2 linked regions of the Tribolium castaneum genome follow. The protein of the gene in region 1 interacts with the protein of each later gene in a pairwise test. Links are inferred from orthologs where the notes say so. Each region holds a gene or a part of one and is shown in the gene's direction. Other genes may lie near its edges. The genes, in order: Naa35 and N-alpha-acetyltransferase 30.

Region 1 (4,353 bases):
AAATTAAAGACAAAATTATTACGTGGCAATTAATTATTTGAGTGTTTTATTTTATTTATAGTTACTGTATTTAAAATGTGTCACTCAAAATATCACTTTTCAACACCGCATTTAAAGATTTTAATTGCATTTAAGTTTTATGAAATTATTGGTTTGTGAAATAAATAAATACGACACAGCAATAAAATACACCTACCTTCATATCGCTTCCACGTTGGCTACCGTTTGTAGCATTAAAAAAAATAATAATAAAAATGAAACCAAAAAAATGTTTATTTGCATTAAATTTTGAGCAAGCCACTTTCATTCATTGAAATTAAAGACAAAATTACGTGGCAATAAATTATTTGAGTGTTTGATAATAATTTTATTTACTGTATTTAAAATGTGTCACTCAAACGCGATCACTAGCCACCGAATTGAAAACTTAAACCGGAAAATTTAGATTTGCTTGAACACACGTCCGTTCGCGACAACGGCAAGTAACAAACTGAATAAATTGAACGAAACCGCACAATACACAATAATTTAAATAAACCGACTCACCTCGCTTCGCCTCGCCTCCCGCTCCCGCTCGCGATCTGACCCGTACCACTGCTCGCTGTCGACTGAACCGCCCTCGCCGCCTGCGCCGCACACCTAACCTCGGATGTGACGTCATCACACGTCTAAAACAGGTCATAACCAGAAACATTCACTGTTCAAATCCGTCAAATTTAGAAACATTCATACACAGAATTATTCAAAATAGAACAGTATTGATCTAGAAAAATTAATTATGACAAATGTATTTGTGTATAAACGTCTAAAATTATAAAAGTTTCGCATGCAGTTAATGGAAAAATAAAAATGCATGTTTATATTTAAACAGAAACTGGCAATGTGAAATTTTAGTGCGAAAATTAGTGGTAGAGCTCGGAAACTCTGTAAACGACCACGATAGGCGGAGCCAATGCGTACTTCATCGAGTGAGGAGATTGAGCAGTGGCGTAGCAAAAAACTATTCTATGATCAAGAAGGGTTTGAGATTCATAATTTGTAGTAGTTAAAATTTCCTCTATTCAATAATTGCAAGATGAAATAGTAAAAATCATATCTAATGCTAATACACTTGATTTCCTAGAAATACAAAGCAGAGAGGTCGAATAAATAAAAATACACAATGAGTAAAGAGTAAAAACGCGTTTATTGCAAAAAATGTTTCTACTGGTATCTTTACTATAACTGGTAATATTGAAATGTTAAACTTTAAGACGAATTTCCTACACATGTAAGTACACGCCACGCCACTGTTTTCTGCCAACACCCCTAATTTAAAGATTGGACTCGTCCGAGACGAGTTTTCGTCTCTGCGCACTCCTACCACCGTGGACGATCTGTCATTTCGCGGACTCTACCAATATTAGTAACAAAAAGGGTTGTTGCCAACCTGACGGCGAAGTCACATAATCCCAGACAAATCACCTAAAAAATTATGGAATATTCAGATTCGTGAGTATTTCTTCCCGAATTTGCCCATTTGTTGCAATTCCGTTTCAGGGAATGTAACGGGGAAACTTTAGATAAGATATTGATGTACAAATGGGCTGACATAACCTCAGAATTTAAGGATGCAGTTATAGGTATTTTGCACCAAAACCAAGGCAACAATTTTTTGTTAAATGAGAGTTCCAGACTTAGGCATGGGCGAGTTATTGCACGACAATTTGTTTGGGCTTTTTGAGGCCATGTCAGCGATTGAGATGATGGACCCCAAAATGGACGCTGGGATGGTTTGTAACAGGGGGGCGCGCAAAGCCAAGACACTCAGCCAGACAATTGAGGTTACAAGCTTTGATTTTTTCCCAAATTATAATTTTTTCTACAATCGACATAAAGTTAACAGATTGCTGTTATAGTAATGTCATCTCACGTCTTAAAAAAAACGGGCAACTAATACCAAAAAAACGCAAAATAAACGGCTTATTTATAATAATTATAATATATATATATAATATAATATACTTGAATAGTATATTAGAAACAAGTTTTATAAGACGAGTCTTGAAGTACGAATTCAACTTCAAAAACATAGTGGCGTCAGCCACTAGCTATTTGAATGAATGAGTGCTTCAAGATCTTATGAAACGAATTTTTTCTACTGTTTTTTTTTGTAATTTGCTCTTTTTTTACCGTTCTTAAACAAAAATCGATATTAGCTATTGTGTTACAGGAGGGTATATTGCAATTGGATGATTTCTCGTACGAAAAAATGATCGGGATTATTGACACTACACTGGCTTGTATCGTTTCGTGGTTAGAAGGTCATTCGTTGGCTCAAACCGTTTTCACTAATCTTTATTTACATAAGCCTTACAGCATAGAAGACAGGACTATGAAAGCTTTCTGCCTCATGGTGTACAAACTATTGGAAATAATTAAGCATTTTGTGCACAAGTGAGTAATGCTGAAATCAAATTTGTGTTTCATTTTCTGGCCATAGAGCCATGGTTTACGAAGAAGAGGACTTCCAACCGATGCAATACGGCTACCACCTCAATCCTGACATCTCCGAACAGAGAATTATCGGAATGTTACGCGAAGTTGAAGAGGAATTACATCGGAAAATTCGGTCGAAACAATCATCTGTAATTACAGGTCCCTGTAATTGTTTTATCTAAATTTGTTTTTTTAAGAGTGAAATTCAAGCTGTTCACGCACGCATTAAATTCATGCGAGTGTTTTACCAAGCTTTGACGCTGATGAGGCGCGAGGACCAGCCCCCTGCCATCACCGACTGCCAAAGACTGCTGCTCACAGCGTCTGACCAATTAATTATCATGAAAGAAACGGTCGATTTGGGGCTCCAATCAGGTTAAATCTTGATTAAAAGTTGCAAAAAAATCATATTTATCCTAATACTAGGTGATAACGAGTTAATTCCGGGCTTTGAACCCTTAATAAACCAGCGATTGTTACCCCCAACGTTTCCTCGCTACACCAAAATTAAGCCGAGGGGCGAAGCCCTCAACTATTTCTCAGACATGGTCGACAGGTTTAAAACCATAACAAAAATCCAGTCAATAACGTCGCTACACCAAGTTATAGTAAGTTGGTTTGGAAATCAATCGCAACTATAGTTTTTTTGGTAGGATTTCTTCATTGATTTTAGTAAAACTAGTCCGTGTTTGCTGTCTCGGTCAGCTCTTCAGTTACTATATCAAGGTATGCCCCAAAATTATTAAAACTGAAAATATTTTGTTCTCACAAAAGTGCTGAGAAATTACCTAAAACTGGATGAAAAACAATATTTTCAGTCAATTATTCCGTAATTTTGCCACTATTTGAATGTGTCATAGGGACAAACCCGTGCGCCTTGCGTGACATTTTAAAGGAAGCAGTGAAGACGTTCATATGCCCACCTGCGTTGGTCTCAAAATCGATTCTTTCGAACCAACAAGTAGTGTAAAAACATTGTTTTTTTGTCAATAACTTGTCTATTTCTAGGCCAAAAAATACGTGGAGACGTTTTTGGCTCATTGTACGCGACCTTTCGCTAGTTTTTTACAACTTTGTGGCCACAACAGGGCCAGACAAAGAGACAAGTTGGCTCATTTACTTGAAGAGTTTACTAATCTACAAGATGAGGTAATTGTGTGATTATTAAGAGTAAGAAATAATTGTTTTTTCTAGGCTGAACGAGTCGACGCTTATTTACATAATATATCGGTCAATTCGACCTCACGGCCACATTTGGCATGTTTCGGTACTTGGATTTTGTACCACACGCTCAAAATTATGATTATGTACTTACTGGCAGGGTTCGAGTTGGAACTCTACAGCAGGCACGAATATTACTACATTTATTGGTAATTTTAATGCTCTTTTTCGTTAAATTATTCAATTTGATTAATAATTTGGATACGAGTTCAGGTACTTGAGTAACATTTTACCCATTTTTTAAACGCCACAAGAATAATAAGTATAAACTTAGCATTTGAACGGTTTCAGGTACTTGTACGAGTTTTTATACGGGTGGCTGGTGTCGGCCCTTTCACGGGCTGATAGTTTTCTAGTCGAAAACGAGCTCATAAACGAGTTACAAAAGTCGAAAAACACGTCGAAAAAGAAACCGAAACACAAGAGAAAACCAAGGCCCTACAATCGGGACATTGTTTATTACCAGGCGTTACAGAACATGTGCGGCGGTTACTACAAAGTAAACATTGCGTATTAATTGTGCACTTTTAATTGGGCTAATTGCAGGCTTTGATGGGCTTCCGATTGGACGGGAAACTGACGATGCCCCACCCCCAGTTCGATAACGAACAAGTGCGGTATGAGCACCGTTTCGCCCCCTTTCAGAACCTCCTC
Region 2 (3,821 bases), on another chromosome or scaffold:
AAATGAGTCAGAAGAAATACCGCAGCAGGCGCCCCCCGAGGACAAGCCCCAAAAGCCTTTAAACGTAATAATTTAACAATTTTCTCCACTCCTCTAATTTGTTCGCATCAGATGTCCCCAGGTGCTGTTAAATTGCGTAGTTGGCTCAACAAGTCCCTCAGAATCCAGATGTTTGATGGCCGTGTCTTAGTCGGTGTCTTTCTGTGCACTGACAGAGACGCCAATGTAATTTTAGGTTCTTGTACTGAATATTTACCAGCTGAGGATAACGGTGATGGTACAATTGAGGAACCAAGGATGCTGGGTTTGGTAATGGTACCAGGCAAACATATACAGAGCGTCGCAATTAATCTAAATCAGCACAATGCAGGCGAATTAAGTGCCCCCTTAACTAAAGACATTAACCCAGAGGAAGTTACATAGAGTTGTACCTTTGCAGTGCTTTATTTATTGTGTAATACAAAAAATGCGTTATGTGCAAGTGAATAAATGAAATATTAGCAAAAATAAATATAATATAATCTGTTTTTTACGCTATAAACAGGCAATGTCATGATAAACTCTTCGTTTCTCGAATATTTTAACACCATCTGTTGATTTGTTTGGGATTCTGAAATAAAAAAACGTGTTACTGACTGATTAGTTTTATTGAAACTATATTTACAAAGCAGTTATTCTAGAATTAATAAACAAAACAAGCTAATGTTCTGGGCTTCTCTCATCAAGCGGTTCGTACCCGTGTTTTTCTATCTTTTCCTTGAACTGTAGGTAATTCCGTCTTCGATCAAAATGCTTGACCCACTGAGCTGAGCACGATTTTTCGTACAGTTTTCTGAATTCGAGACATGGTCCTCTGTCATCTTTACTATCAATGATTCCGTTTTTATCTAAACACTCCCAATACCGATCCCGCGCACCCCAACACAAGTTGCGATCTTCCTTCGTTGGGAACGACATGACTGAATAAAATAAATTAATAGGAAATTTTTGGCAAAATATTGAGAGTTTAAGTGAATCAAATAATTTAAAAATATTTCCCTTTCTAAAAATAGAGCGTGCTGACAGTCGTGATAATAAATCCGCACTTTACGCAAGCAGGGGACCCACGTGCGAAAAGTATAAATAAGTGTTCTGAAGTGTTTTTCGAAAGTGGCGCGTGGGTCATGTGTACCAATGGAACGAGGCTTTATGTAACCAGACATTGGTCAATCAATTTTCTTAGGTTATGTTTAGGCCAAGTTTGAATGGAATTAAATAACTTTGCGGCAGGTGAGTGGGGTAACTTTGGTGAAGGGTAGTGGTAAAATGGTTACCTGATCAATACGCGCAGTTGAGTCAATTTAAGGGGGCCCTTTTTCTCCTTCCAGGAAAGAGAAAAAATTGACAGCAGCAAGAGTGGAAATAACCTAAAAATCCCTGTTGATTTTCTGTCAATATGTCTGCTTTAGCGAGTTTATTTTAGAGCAAAAGTAAAAAATAATTTGTATTATGCTATCATTTAGATTATTTATTTGCAAAGCAAGAAATAAATGGGAAAATGAACAAGAACGGTAATAAGATAAATAAATCAAAAAAGTGCACTTCAACGAATTGTGAACCAAAAAATGATCTAAATGGAAAGGCGAAAGATACGAATTTGAAAAAGAAGCACTCGAAGAACGGCTTGGTGAACGGACTAGTGAACAATGCACAAGACTCAACCAAAGGCAGCGGCAAGGAGCACATAATCCCCAGCAACAATGAAAATTCACATAAAAGTACGCAACCTAAACCACAGAAAGAAACCTCAAGAGACAAAGCGCGCGAAGACGAGGGCATTAACAAAGACTTGAAGTCGAAACTTACCAAATTAGATTCAAATGACAACATTTCGAATCACGAAAAGATGCTAGACCCCAGTCAGGAATCAGACGTATCATTTAATTTAAGCAATAATAGTACAATTACGAACGAGGACTCGATAGCGTCTTGTAGTAATAAAGCAACTAGTTCTAGCGACGACAAAATATCAGACATAGTGGAGGACCTGAAGGGTGTGGAGCTGGCGCCCAAGCGCGAGCTGCCACCCATTCAGTACGTTCAGTACGAATCCGAATTGCAAATGCCAATGATTATGAAAATTATCCAAAAAGACCTTTCCGAACCCTATTCCATCTACACCTACCGGTACTTCATCCACAACTGGCCGAAACTCTGCTTTCTGGTGAGTCTCCAAAACTCACCGCAAAATATTTTTGGTTTTCTTCAGGCAATGTGCGAGGATAACTGCGTGGGCGCCATCGTCTGCAAGCTGGACGCTCACCGCAAAGTGCTGAAGCGCGGCTACATCGCGATGTTGGCGGTGGACCAAAACTACCGAAAATTGGGCATTGGGTCCACCCTGGTGCGGAGAGCTATCCAGGAGATGATCGTCGGCGACGCCGACGAAGTAGTGCTCGAGACGGAAGTGACAAATAAACCGGCTTTGCAGTTGTATGAAGCCCTAGGCTTTGTCCGGGACAAACGTTTGTTTCGATATTATTTAAACGGCGTCGATGCTCTGAGGCTGAAACTGTGGCTAAGATGAGGATCTTAATCGGTGAAATGGTTGTATTTGTTGCCATATGCTCAGGGTATGGTGTGAGTTTGTTAAATTAGTTGAATATTCAGAATTTTATTCTTGTTGTTTGTTTGTTGTACGTTCTTTTCTCATAAACGCCAAATTCGTTCGATTCAGACGTCTGGACTAGAGTTTGTTTGTCTTCCAAAGATGTAGTCCAAAAAGTAATAAAAATAGTTTCCTTCGAAATTTTTTTTATCTTGCGCATCACCACCTCCATCGGTTTTGTACGTTGATTTTGTATGACTTAAGTGTAGATAAATGAATGTGTAACTTTGGATGTTCATTTAATCAGGGTGTCGAAATATCTGAGCTTTTGTAACAATTTCATACTGACATAAGCTGAGGAAAATATTTAAACTAGAATTACTGATGTGTGCTTACATGAATGTTTCTTTTTAATATATAGAACATTGTTTGTCAGTAATTGTAAAAACTGTATATAATTTTACTGTATGATAAAAGCATTAAAAATGTGTTGTAATGATTGAATAATATACCAAAATTTATAAGGACCGTTTATTTACATAAAAAAGACATTTGCTTACAAGTCACTTTTTCTTATTACTCAACGCTTCAGCTTTCCGTTTCACTGACTTTACCAAAACACTCAACTCGGCATCTTTTTTCATCGGCTTCTCCGTCATTTCACGTTCGCTATCGTCTTTCCGCCTTTTGATTTTCTCATTTATTAGTCTCTCCATACCTTTCGTCTTCTTATAATGGGGGTCCGTGGGATCAATATTATACAAATGACTCGTAAAGAGGGCAGAGAACCGATCATCATTAACATCGACTTGAAAATCGTCCTTCTCGTCTGTTTCTTTGAGTTTGCGTTTTTTCTTACTAGTCGCTTCTTCTTGCTTCTGAATTTTCTTCAAACTGAAGTGCTTCTTATTATCGTCATCTTCATCAGCCAAAAGTAACTCCAATTCAGGATTATTTTCTTCTTCCGACTGAGATTTCTTCTCCTTAACTTTCTTTTTCTTAAATTCGGGATTGTTAAACTCCTCGGCGAAATACGGATCGTTCATATCAATATCAGACGGTACATCATCCGAATCTTCATTTTCCCGCTTCTTCTTTTTCTTCTCTTTGCGTTTTTCTTTCCGTTTATCGAGATATTTCTGGAATGGTGTCTTTTCTTCCTCATTTTCAATCTTCTTCTTTACCAACTTTTCGGTTTTGTCCTTCAAATCGATGCCCCAGCTCACTTCCATTT

What was found.
Region 2: the proteins of Naa35 (region 1) and N-alpha-acetyltransferase 30 interact in a two-hybrid assay, tested with the Drosophila melanogaster proteins (2 studies listed by BioGRID). The link is inferred for Tribolium castaneum from reciprocal best matches to the Drosophila melanogaster genes Naa35 and Naa30A.

What each region holds. Positions count from the first base shown.
Region 1 is NC_087403.1:266,598-270,950, reverse strand, and holds the start of Naa35 (N-alpha-acetyltransferase 35, NatC auxiliary subunit), read left to right. Parts: upstream 1-1,258; 5' UTR 1,259-1,474; coding exon 1,475-1,491; intron 1,492-1,539; coding exon 1,540-1,622; intron 1,623-1,674; coding exon 1,675-1,823; intron 1,824-2,212; coding exon 2,213-2,436; intron 2,437-2,482; coding exon 2,483-2,627; intron 2,628-2,675; coding exon 2,676-2,853; intron 2,854-2,904; coding exon 2,905-3,086; intron 3,087-3,131; coding exon 3,132-3,204; intron 3,205-3,338; coding exon 3,339-3,439; intron 3,440-3,486; coding exon 3,487-3,627; intron 3,628-3,672; coding exon 3,673-3,848; intron 3,849-3,989; exon of another isoform or gene 3,990-3,990; coding exon 3,991-4,198; exon of another isoform or gene 4,199-4,245; coding exon 4,246-4,353. UniProt on the Drosophila melanogaster protein: Auxillary component of the N-terminal acetyltransferase C (NatC) complex which catalyzes acetylation of N-terminal methionine residues.
Region 2 is NC_087402.1:5,497,338-5,501,158, forward strand, and holds N-alpha-acetyltransferase 30, read left to right. Parts: upstream 1-1,537; coding exon 1,538-2,203; intron 2,204-2,248; coding exon 2,249-2,566; 3' UTR 2,567-3,114; downstream 3,115-3,821. Other genes in the region: Sbat (N-alpha-acetyltransferase 38, NatC auxiliary subunit), read left to right, coding at 1-64, 112-423; cytochrome c oxidase assembly factor 6 homolog, read right to left, coding at 700-957; ESF1 homolog, read right to left, coding at 3,151-3,821.